3 linked regions of the Macaca mulatta genome follow. The protein of the gene in region 3 interacts with the protein of the main gene of each other region in a pairwise test. Links are inferred from orthologs where the notes say so. Each region holds a gene or a part of one and is shown on either strand. Other genes may lie near its edges.

Evidence for each region.
Region 1: the proteins of VIM (region 3) and FABP4 interact in a two-hybrid assay, tested with the Homo sapiens proteins (2 studies listed by BioGRID and IntAct). The link is inferred for Macaca mulatta from reciprocal best matches to the Homo sapiens genes VIM and FABP4.
Region 2: the proteins of VIM (region 3) and NOD2 interact in binary tests that used the Homo sapiens proteins (3 or more experiments, as listed by UniProt). The link is inferred for Macaca mulatta from reciprocal best matches to the Homo sapiens genes VIM and NOD2.

Annotation. Positions count from the first base shown.
Region 1 is NC_133413.1:92,013,112-92,017,231, reverse strand, and holds the start of FABP4 (fatty acid-binding protein, adipocyte), read left to right. Parts: upstream 1-1,309; 5' UTR 1,310-1,360; coding exon 1,361-1,433; intron 1,434-3,907; coding exon 3,908-4,080; intron 4,081-4,120.
Region 2 is NC_133425.1:46,148,870-46,153,004, reverse strand, and holds the start of NOD2 (nucleotide-binding oligomerization domain-containing protein 2), read right to left. Parts: upstream 2,807-4,135; 5' UTR 2,521-2,806; coding exon 2,436-2,520; intron 1,909-2,435; exon of another isoform or gene 1,775-1,908; intron 272-1,774; coding exon 1-271. UniProt on the Homo sapiens protein: Pattern recognition receptor (PRR) that detects bacterial peptidoglycan fragments and other danger signals and plays an important role in gastrointestinal immunity.
Region 3 is NC_133414.1:18,787,220-18,791,220, reverse strand, and holds the start of VIM (vimentin), read right to left. Parts: upstream 2,813-4,001; 5' UTR 2,668-2,812; coding exon 2,105-2,667; intron 1,441-2,104; coding exon 1,380-1,440; intron 1-1,379. UniProt on the Homo sapiens protein: Vimentins are class-III intermediate filaments found in various non-epithelial cells, especially mesenchymal cells. Vimentin is attached to the nucleus, endoplasmic reticulum, and mitochondria, either laterally or terminally.

The sequences.
Region 1 (4,120 bases), on a different chromosome or scaffold from region 3:
TGCCATTAACAAATGCAAAACCTAACTTTATCAGGCTTTCATAGCAACTTGCTTTCCTACAGAAAATCCTGTTGCTTACAGAATTTCCTGCCACAAACATTTTTGGGAAGCCCTCAGGATACTTACACTGGCTTGTGAATCAATCATATGCTCAGCAGGTACTGTTCAGTGGGATACACAGTGTGGCAATACATCACTCTGAAATATTTCAGTTTCTTTTTTTTCCCCCTAAATCTGGGTAAGTTCGTGGGAATTTGCAGCACACGCGAACATCTTCCATCATTCTTGCATGGGGCAAAGGGAATTGAAAACCACGATTACTTTAGAAAACTAGTTTCACAAATTGGTGACTGTATTAAAGAAGGATATTGGTTTTGGTAGCATGCGACCACACCATTTCTGATCTGAATAAATTCGGAACTTATGACACAGTTCAGAAATTGAATGCACTTTCTCAGTATGAGGAAAGTATTTTAGAATGAGGCCCATTTTTCAAAGGATCTGTGGAAATCAATGCTATGCTCTCATTTAGGAGATGGAAAGAGTGAGGTTACATTATCATTTTGATGAAATCTACAGTCCAGATTACTGGTGGATGAATTGAAACTACTTTTTTATTCATATAAAGCATTTGAAATCAGAAATCTGGAGTACTTTTAAATCCCATTACTTATTTTGTTTTCATTGCCAGGTAATTCCTGAGACAGTACTGCCCCAAAGAGCCTTTGCAATTATGTAAGAATCTCCGAGGCAGTTCTTATGTTCCGCAATTCAAAAGAACCACATAACTGCAATTTAAATACCTCCTCCCCCAAAATAAGGTCAAAGTTTATCTCAAAATAATTTCCCCTTTCTACACTGGGACAAATATGTATAGGAATAATAGAAAATATGTATGGCAATTTCTCAATTCAAAAGAACCACATAACTACAATTTAAATACCCTCCCCCAAAATAATGTCAAAGTTTATCTCAAAATAATTTCCCCTCTCTACACTGGGATAAATATGTATAGGAATAATAGGGGGAAATTCAGTGCACTGAGCATTAAGCTGTCAAAACAGGAATGTTTAAAATATCCTGTTAGTGGTTTAAAAATAATTTGTACTCTAAGTCCAATGACTATTTGCCAGGGAGAACCAAAGTTGAGAAATGTGTATTAAAAACATGACTCAGAGAAAAAAATGCACAGGCTGGTAATGAAGGAAATGATTGGCTATGATTCCCAATTGGTCATTCCTAAGATCACATGTTCTGAGCACCTTTAAAAGGAAGTTATCTGGACTCCAGAGGGTCACAGCACTCTCTTGAAAACTGCAGCTTCCTTCTCACCTTGAAGAATAATCCTAGAACTTACAAAATGTGTGATGCTTTTGTAGGTACCTGGAAACTTGTCTCCAGTGAAAACTTTGATGATTATATGAAAGAAGTAGGTAAGGAAATGCATTGTGGAATGACTGGATTTATAATATTTTCTTTTGGGAACAAGAGTTTATAGCTGTGTTTATAGCAATGTCTGGAAGCCCTGGCCAGAAATGAAAATGCTGCTTTCTATAGAAAGGCTGCACACATAGCAAGTGATAATCATTTGTTTATAGAGAAATTCTGAACCAAAGCTACAACTAATGCTTCCTGAAGGTGTACCAATATTAAAAAGTGTCTAAATTGAATGTTTATGGCCTTTAAAAATGATAAGATTTGACTTTAATTGCAAAACTTGGGTATCCTTGGTTTACTTAGCTCTTTGCCTATTTCTCTTTCATCCCCTTTTGCATATAAAATAAGCAATAACTTGGAAAAAAGTTAGTATGCAATAATTTTCATTTGAAACTGAAAGCACTCTAGTTCCTTTAATGCAATGTTCTTTTTCAATAACTGTATGTTAGCCAATTATTTTCTTGTCTCAATGTTAATCTATTAAAATATGTGGTTGTTTTATGATAGACAAAAATTTTAATTTCAGAAATATGTTTCTTAAACAACTTAAATACTTCCTTTGACTAGAAATGACATAGGATGCCATAGAATTATCAACCAATTTAAAAGGAGAATGTTACGTACATAACATACCTCTTCTTTGATAGTAGAGGTGTTTAATTTTTTAGATGCTATTAACATTGTCAGCATGTCATTGGATGAACGCCTCTCAGATAACAATGGAGGTAAAGTAGAAGAGACAACGTCTCTCTCAGGCAGCTTCTACTTTGAAAGCCTTTCTCCCTCAACCCCATGCATGACAGTCCATGAAAGTCAGAACTGGGGTTAGCAAACTGGGGAGGAATTTTATGCAATCTTCGGGTTTAAAACGTAATTATTAAATCTCAAAACACTTAACCCTCCTGTAAATTATACAGTATATACTTTTTTGCTTGTCTGTAACTATGTTTCTTGTTTTTAGATGATAGGAAAATTGGTGACTTTAGCATGAGAGAGACTTTCTAGGATAAACTAGAGTGATTCAATAAACTAATTAATATGCACGGATGCAGAAATGCCAGGATTTGGGGTCATTTAACTATTTATTTTTAGAAAAATTTTATACTTTTAATATTTATATTTTCTAATAACACTGTGTTTTTAAATTATAAAGGACTGATGATAATTAAAGTCAATAAAACACCTTTTGCATGAAATTGAGGATGAGTGAACAGGTATTGTTTTCATCAGTCACATAAAAGCAAAATCAAGCAAATGGAGACTATGGTTTTTCCCAAGGTCAGCCATTCTAGAATCACACTCAGTTTTGCCTCCATTCACGAAGCAGACTCACTCCATACATTTAATGTTATATTTTGTAACAGAGCCAGGACTTGAAGACACACCTGTGGCCATTTTTCAGACAGCCAGTGAAATCAGAGCCTCAGAATTACTTATTTTGCACCATGTGTCTCTCCCAGTTCTTCCCAATTTCTAACCTTTGGTTGCCTTTAGTCAAAGAAAGAGTTTAGATTTACATGCACATGTTTAAAAAATTCAACACATCTATGACTAATAAATTCTGCATGACATACACAGTGACAGCAAGTTACTGCTATGTTTGGCTGTAAATTATTCATTCCATACCTTGCACAAGACAATATATTCTCCTTTTTAAGAAAGAAAAGTTCACAACTTAGGTGATTGGAAATCTAAGTATTGGCTTCTAACCTATTCTAAACTAAGAAACATTGATTTCTTAAATGTTAAAGTTTTCACAATTTGATGACTAGTCCCTTTTTAAATATCCCCTATAAATTATTAGGAATGATATCACCATTCTAAAATGTTATAAATGTAGGAAACATTTTGCCTTTTGTATAAATTCATCAAAATCTTCATCTCATGGTGGAGTAATTTGAGAAAGAAGCACAGAAAAGTAGACTTGGCAACAAATGCTATGAAATGTGACTTTTGTACACTCAAAACTGACAAACATTTAACTAAGTAACTCTACATTAACCCCCAAAATTCTGTTGAAAATTCTGTCTTTGTGCCTTCTTAAATGTAATATTGAGTATCTAAGATGGAATGGTCAACTATTTTATTAAGAGAGAAAAACAATAGTGGCTAACATTTTAAATATATATCTTCCCAAAGATTTTTGTTGAAAATAAACAATGGGTCTCCTGAGAAGGTGTATCCAGACCAGAGAAAGGGAAATTTAAAGAATAGGCCTATACCTATTGTTTCTCAGAGGTTGTGTGTGTGTATGTGTGTGTGTGTGTGTGTGGTTTTGTGTGTGTGTGTGTGTGTGTTTAAGTATTAACCTGATTTTATCTGCAGGCGCTATTTAAATTAAGGCCTTTAAGAAACTCACTGTGTCTTTTTCCTCTTACACATGCACCTGTGGGCAGACACACATTCTCTGGCTTGGCTAAGTATGTGACAGAAAATGTCAACCTGACATCTTTTCTATTCCTAACTGTAGGAGTGGGCTTTGCCACCAGGAAAGTGGCAGGCATGGCCAAACCTAACATGATCATCAGTGTGAATGGGGATGTGATCACCATTAAATCCGAAAGTACCTTTAAAAATACTGAGATTTCCTTCAAACTGGGTCAGGAATTTGACGAAGTCACCGCAGATGACAGGAAAGTCAAGGTGAGAAATAAGGAACTGGCACAGAGTACATGCCTGGTTT
Region 2 (4,135 bases), on a different chromosome or scaffold from region 3:
TGGCTGTCGGCCTGGGCTTCCTGGGCAGCAGCGACAAGTTTCTGACAGGCCCAAGTACCCTTATTCCAGACGGTGTCCAGGAGGCGCCTGGCCAAGTGGGAGAGAGGCTGGCCCAGGAGGTGGATGCCCTCGTAGTCTTCCCAGGAGAGGACCTCCCAGGACAGCAGCCAGTCCAGGACACTCTCGAAGCCCTCCAGGGACCCTGAGACCAGCAGCTCCACCAGCTGACTCCTCTGTGCCTGAAAAGCCTCCTGCGAGCACATTTCACAACCTGGGGAGGAGAACAAGGTCAGTGCAGGACTTCTCCAGAAGCCAGACGCGGGGTGGCTGGGGAAGGCCAGGGCAAGTCAGCCCCAGCAGAACCCGAGTTGGCCATGGTTCTAGCCTCAGACATTACCCAATCCAAGCTCCCCACCATACAGATGTGAAAATTGAGACCCAGAGAAGGCAAGAAACACCTCAAGGTCCCACAGAGAGTTTGAAGCAACCAAGAATTAAATCAAGACCCCTAACTCCCACATCCATGCTTGGTCTCCGGCTTAAAACATTTAAAAAGGCTTGAGGTAATATGAGGAGCAAGAGATCTCCCAAGGTCACTTGAGATCAGGAGTTCCAGACCAGCCTGGCCAACACGGTAAAACCCTTTCTCTACTAAAAATACAAAAATTAGCCAGGCGTGGTGTGGGCACCTGTAATCCCAGCTACTCAGGAGGCTGAGGTAGGAGAATCACTTGAACCCGGGAGGCAGAGGTTGCAGGCTGCACTCCAGCCTGGGCAACAGAGCAAGACCCTGTCTCAAAAAAATAATAATAAAAATGTAAAAAGTAGAGAGAGAGAAAGAGAGATCTTCCGAGCAGTCAGGGAATTCATTCTCTTCAAAGCAGGGTGAGAGGGGCTCCACACTGGCCGGATTCACGCTACAGCAGTTTCAGTAATGGCTAATATTAATTAAGCATAAACAACACACCAGGCGCCATTCTAAGTGCTCTCCTGCGTGAATTCACTGAACCCTCCCAGCCACTCTGAAGTAGTGCCTATGATCTGCCCATTTTACAGAGGAAGACACTGAGGCACCGAGAGGCTCAGCGATTTGTACGACATGTCACAGCTAGACAGGCAGAGTCAGGATTTCAACACAAGCCGTGTGCAACTCCAGAATGCATGTCTCTAACTCTTACATTTGGGTTCCCCACGGGGGCCCCAAGCCCTTGCTGTGTGTTTTGCACACTGCTACTCCAAGGGGTACACTCAGAGTATTGTTCTAAAGGTCCTATCCTAGGCTAAGTGAAAAATTACGGTGCAAACTAAGTTGTTTCCAAGCGTTCTCGTGCCTTGTCCCCCATCAACACTTCCCCCACACACTTGCCCTAGGGCCCTCACCTCCCTCCCACGCCCTCGAAACCACCGTGCACAGACTGCTGCTGCTGCTACCGTTAGCCACCTGCTGTGGGTTCTGGGAATTTGAGGGCAAGTAACCCTCCAGGAGCTTCAAGCCCTGGGAGGATCTCTGAGCAGCTGAGAAAATCTCTCAGCATGGTTAGTTCTGCGATTGTCGTGGGGTCTGTGGACAAGGGCTGGTGCAGTGCCTCGAAGAAACGAAAGTGAAAGGGTGTAGGCATGGACAACAAAGAGAGCCGTCGGCTTCTTTTTATAAATCAGGGACATTCCCAGCCACTCGAGGGAGTAGACGCCAAGCGGCCTGGGGATTTTGCCTCTTTGCTGATGGTTGTTTATGTGTCTCTCTCCCTGCCTGGGTCACGTGGAAGCCTGGGTCTTACTCGTCCTAGCATCCCTGAGCCTGGCACGGCACTGTCCCCCGCAGAGACACCGTGGAAATGTTCATGAATCAAATATCCCCTGGGCTGGGGGTGGGAGGAACACTGTAACCATCCTCATACGGCAGCCAAGGTAAGCAAAAGGAAAAACCTCCAATCTCTCAGAACGCTGCTGGGGCACAGGAGGCCCTGTGCTGGTCAGATGGGGAAACGGAGGCAATGAGGTTATGTGTGTGTCTGGCTGCTTGGGAGAGAGAGTGTCCCCCCCCTGCACAGGCCACTGGAATCCAGGAACTAAGGTAGTTCTCTCAGGCCAAGGAGGTCTCCTCCCCGTGCTCACCTCTAAGCAGAGGAGCCAAGAGGGTGGGGTGGCGGGGGACGGGGGAAGAGAGGACCAAAAGGGGGTAGAATAAGCTCTGGGCTTGGCCCTGGAGTGGTTCTCAGCTGTGGAAACATCAGCCAAGGACGCGACAGCAGCCCCCACCATCACCCCTGCCAGGGTCCTGGGGAAAATAACCACCCACCCACTCTCCCCAGAAAACAGCCCAGAGCCACAGTCAGCACTCCCCATCTCACCCCAGGCCTGGGAGCATGCGCGCAGCCAGGGATGAAAGAAGGCTGAGAGTCAAGCTGAGACAGGACAATGCCTGCTCCTCTTACCCAGAAAATGTCCAAGGAGGACACTTGCTCTTTCCTCCTCATCGGGAGAGACTGGACCACCCCCTCTTCCCCCATCAAAGCCCATTAGGCTTGGGGAGCAGGCATGGCATCTGTGGGTGGGCCTTGTGCAAAACACCAAAAGCCCAGCGGCACAGGACTGGTGAGCCTGGATCTGTCTACCAACCCCACCTTCAAGGGAAATTCCCAAAGGAAAAGCCAGAGGCCAGAGTTGGCCAACCAGCCTTCCAGAACTAGGTAATTCCAGGCAATTCTAGCACAAAGCCTTGTGCATCCTGGAGACCATGACCCTCCCTGAAAAACCCCACTGGGGACATGAGACACATTCACGAGGGGACAGGCCACAAGTAAGTAGGGGCCCCTCCCTAGCACACCAAGCCTAGGGCAGCCTGGCCTACGTGTGAGCCATACACACCCCGGCTAGTGACGTCGGGCTTCTGTGGGCACCAGGAAGGGGAGGGCCGCCCAAGTCACGTGACTCGGAGCTCTGTCCTCCCAGCAGCTGCATCACCGCACCTCTGCCCTGGCCTTCTTCCAGAAACCTCAGAGCAAAGAGAATCCTGAGGGCCAATTCAGCCAGTCCCCTGTCTCTGAGCAGGCATTGTCCTGTCTCATATTAAACATCCGGAGAGGAGGGCCTGGCCTTAGTGCTGTCCTCACTAACCAGCTCAGGAAGCTCACCAGCTTGGGAATTTATTCATTATGTCTAGCTAGCTTCAGTTTCTCCTGCTTCAGTTTAACTTGGGAAAGAGACAGAAAAAATATTCACTCATTATCTGTTTCCTAAAAATTGTCCTTCACATCCTTCCTCTTACCCCTTTATTACCTGATCGGGCTTCCCCTCTTCAGGCAAAATCTATTAGTCTATCTGCATTGCCTTTTGATCTCTACTTCAGTTACTACAACTTCAAAGACACCATTGTCCTCCCCAAGGTGAGGCCCATGTAGAGAAAGGAGCACTTCCTTGCTGAAAGAGAGGGTCAAGGAGCGACCCACAAGGGCCCTCCCTGAAACCCAGGCCCAGGTCTGAGCCTGGACAGCTCCTTCCTTCCTGAGACCACAGCCAACCTGGTTTCTCTGGGGCCAAGAGCAAATGCTTTGCTTAAGTGCTGAAATCTCAGCCCACTGACCCCTTGCAGACAGGAGAGGAAGGGAAGCCCAGGGAAGCGCAACTTCCCAAGTATCCCGGGTCTCTGCTGGGGCCAAGCGCCCCCACCCTCCCCCAGCCATCCTGCATTCTCCCTCCCCGGCACTGAACTTCTCTTCCTAAGAGACCAATTCCCCCCACCAGTGCACAATGCACTATATTCTCCATTGTAAAGGTAAAGCCCTCTCTTGACACCCACCTTCTTCATTTGGCTCCAATCCCATTTATCTGCTCCCCTTTATAGCAGACCCCCTTGTCTATTGCCTGTACTGCTGTCCCCAAGTCCTCCCATCCCCTCCCTCACCCTCAAGTTCCCCATCCAGCTCCAGTGAAACTGTCACCAGTGACCTCCCGTTGCTCAATCCTCAGCCCTCAGCCTGCTTGCTCTGCCAGGGGCATTGGTCATATTTGTTCCCTCCTTCCTCTTTGGGGCATTTTCCTCATTTCCTCCAGGGCACCCCAACTCTCTGATTTTCACTCTTTCTGTCTTCTTGGCTGGTTCCTAACACTGGGGGCCTCAGCACCCCTTCTCTTC
Region 3 (4,001 bases):
ACAGAGGATCTTTTGTATTGATGTTGTTTTACGTTAACTCACTACTCTGCAGAAAACATTACAGGTATGATAATCAAAAATGCTCAAGGACTAAAATGAACCACACATTGCTGTGGTTAAATTAATTTGGTAAATGTATTTCAGTTTCAAAATGTTGTACTACACTATTCATCTGAGAGTGCTTTGTAGTTAATCCCAGTAAATATTCCAGGGAATAAAACTATAGACTATAATGGGGATCTTCTGGCTTCTGGATTCCAATTTTAAGTCAAAAATTCTGTAAGTCCATCCAATTTTGGTGGGAAAAAAAAAAAAAAAAAACGCACAAAAACCCTTTAGTTAAAATTGAATTTTTCAGCCTTAGATTTATTACTATTATTATTATTTTTTATGGCGAGAGTGCTAAAGAATACAAGAATCCAATCAAGAAAGGACTTTCAAAATGTGAGGTATGTTTGTAGCTTTAAAAACTTTTTACATTACATACTTCTCAAGTCTGGGCCAGATATTAGATAACGGATGTTAGCAAATACTTGTGTCCAATTAGAACCGTGCTTACATCACTACATATTCAATAAGAATGTAGCCTGCTGCAAAGCTTCCCCGGGAACACAAAGACTCCTATTATTTCTGTCCACAGCCACCACATTTGCCAGAATGTCTGTATCTACATTCCATAGTGAAGCCCATAGAAACCATTAATACCCCTCAGCCGAGGGGACAGATGGCTCCTTTTCACCCTTATTAGATCACAAAATAGTTGTGCATAGTGATACTTCCATCGAACTTTAATGCCACAATAGAAGTTGCAAAGAAGAAAAGAAACTTGCTGGCTCCATTCCAGTTGGAAACTAAGTTTTCTTATCTTCCAACACGTTTTCCATTTTAAACTGTAGGGCATAACTGCGCTTTTTGTGACCTTGTAAAAATTAAGCGACTTGACTTTGGCAAACCACAATCTAAAATTGTGACCGTTCGAAACCAGAAGGTCAATGTGTTGCAAAACTGTGCAACATTTTGCAAACAAAGTAAAAAGTTAAAAGATTTTTCTTTATGTCCCAAGGAACGGCTTAGAAATCATTCAAGGATCGCTTGAACCCGGGAGGCAGAGGTTGCTGCTAGCCAAGATCTCGCCACTGCACTCCAGCCTGGGCGACAGAGTGAGACTCCGTCCCCCCAAAAAATCGTCCAAGCGGTTTTATTAATATTTTTTCTAATAATGAGAAGCTCCAATCTGTGGTCTTCCCGCCACTAGAGGGCTTTACGCGCAGCCCTGAAGTTTTGCACTTTTTAGACGTGGGTTAAGCAACTTTTAGAATTGCTCGTGGGTTGTGTTGGGTGGGGTCAGGTAGCTGCGAGTGGGAAGAGAGCCTACAAACCTGTCTGAAAGATTGCAGGGTGTTCTCGGCTTCCTCTCTCTGAAGCATCTCCTCCTGCAATCTGAAACAGTTGCGCATTAACCAAAGGGGAACTGGGAAACCGCCAGGGGCGGGGCGGCCACACCCAACCACCACGTAGCCGCGCTGCGCCTCCAGAGCCGCTGCGCCACCTCGGCGCAACTAGCGCTTGCAGCTTTCAGGCCTGTGGCCCTCGGCAGGTTTCAGTGGGACCTTGGGCACCGCGCAGAGGGGCAATCACGGTCGCCGCACAGACCTGCAGGACAGCGCCGCCATACCCACCCCCGAGAGACCATTCCTTTGTCTCGCTCCCTCCACCGCCTTCCCCTCCTTCCTTCGCCCGCCGGGCGATTGGCCGCCCGCCAGAAGGGGCAGGAAACTTTATAAAAGTTTGGAGGACTCGCTCTCATTGTGCCCAAGGGCCTTCAACTGCACACAAAGTGGTAGTTTTAAGAAATCTGTAACTTGAAACGGAGCGTCCTTGGGCAATGTGTGGGGACAGAGGGGGAAATGCGAACTGCAAGGTCTGGGTTCTGGGCGGGGCTGCGCCGCCACAGCCACAGCCGCTGCTCTCCGCAGTCCCCCCGGCAGGCCTCCCCCGGGCCTCATCCCCAAGGGCGTGGCAGCCCTGGCGGGGGCGGGGGGCGTTCCCCTCTCCCTCCAGCCCCCTCCCGAGGCCCAGCGACTTGCAATGGGCGCAGCCTTACTTCTCCCGGAGGCGCATGATGTCCTCGGTCAGGTTGTCGCGCTCCACCTCGACGCGGGCTTTGTCGTTGGTTAGCTGGTCCACCTGCCGGCGCAGCTCCCGCATCTCCTCCTCGTAGAGGTCCCCCAGGCGCGACTTGCCCTGGCCCTTGAGCTGCTCGAGCTCGGCCAGCAGGATCTTATTCTGCTGCTCCAGGAAGCGCACCTTGTCGATGTAGTTGGCGAAGCGGTCATTCAGCTCCTGCAGCTCCACCTTCTCGTTGGTGCGGGTATTCTTGAACTCGGTGTTGATGGCGTCGGCCAGCGAGAAGTCCACCGAGTCCTGGAGGAGCCGCACCCCGGGCACGCTGCTCCGCAGGCGCACCGCAGAGGAGCGCGTGGCATACACGCCGCCCGGGGACGAGGCGTAGAGGCTGCGGCTGGTGCTGGGGCGCAGCGCGCTGCCCAGGCTGTAGGTGCGGGTGGACGTAGTCACGTAGCTCCGGCTGGAGCTCGGCCGGCTCGCGGTGCCCGGGCCGCCGAACATCCTGCGGTAGGAGGACGAGGACACGGACCTGGTGGTCATGGCTGCGGAGGGTGGCGATGGGCTGGGCTGCGGCGGTGGCGCGGACTGGCTCCTAGAGAAGAGGCGGACGAGGGCGCGGTGGGTGTGGGTGGTGGGAGCGCGGCTGAGTCTCTGGCGCGGGGACCTCGGAGCGAGAGTGGCAGAGGACTGGACCCCGCCGAAGGCGCTGTTTTTATAACCGCATTAGGAAGGAGGGTCCCCTCCCACTGCCATCCCAGCCGCGGAGCGCGCCAGCCAATAGGGACCTGGCGAGAAGCGGGGAGGGTGGGCGGGTGGGGTGGGGGCGCCCTCGAGCCTTTCTCCTCCAGGGCCTGGGACTGGGCATGGTCCCGTTACTTCAGCGCTGGGCTGGGACTTTTGGGGCTTTCCGGATGATAGTCTGAGCTGGGCTCACCCTGGGGTGCTGAAAAAGGCGGGGTCGCGCGGTGAGGGGGGATCCGCCCGGGACTGAACCAGAGGGGTCCGGTGGCACCGCGCCAGAGGGGCGTGGGAGGAAGCGCGCGGCTGCCTCGGGGCTGCGGTCAGGTGGGGAGACCCGCGAGCAAAGGAGCGGGAAGAGGGAAGAGTAAGGGATCCGGCAGATCTGAAGTCGCTGAGAAAGAAACAAAGAGCGCCTGAGATTGGAACGCGGGATGGGGGCGCGCACAGCTCAGGAACGTAGGGCTCAGGGCCCCGCGCAGCCTCGCTCACCGCCCGCTTGGAAAGGGGGGCTGCTCCGGCCCGCGCCTCTGTCGACTTGCCTTGGCTGGGAGATGTTGGGGGGAGGGGAGGCTCTATCGAGGGACCTAACGGACTCAGTCCAGCTTCGGACGGCGGGAGTTGACAGGCGGCGGTGGCAGAGGAAAGCCCGAGGGAGAGGGGTGGGGTCGCTGAGTCACCGGTGGTGACTCACCGCGCCCTGCTGTCCCGCCGATTGAGGGCTGCTAAGCGGTTTAGGGGAAACCGTTAGACCAGATTGACTCGAGTCTCCGCGGCTCCGCGCGTGCTGCTGGTTCCCAGTCCTACCAACTTAGAGCTGGGCCATCGCTTTGATGTGTGCGGTGGGGCCCTTTGGGGGACAAGAGCGCCTCTAAGTTCTTATAACTCGCTAAAGCCTGACTTTGCTCGATGTGTGGACTTTTTGTTAGTAAGAAACTTCTTCAGCCTTTGAAGAGGCGCCATACGTGGGCCTCCTGGATCACGATTGCACGGGGAAGGTTTTTCTTGCAGAGTCCCCGCCCCCGTCCCTCCGGTCTCCTCTCGCTCTTCCCCCTCCCCGCGTGAAACCACACCCAACTTTTTAAACAAGATCTGAAAATTCTGGGTGAAAGAGGAAACTCAACGTCCGTAGTTTC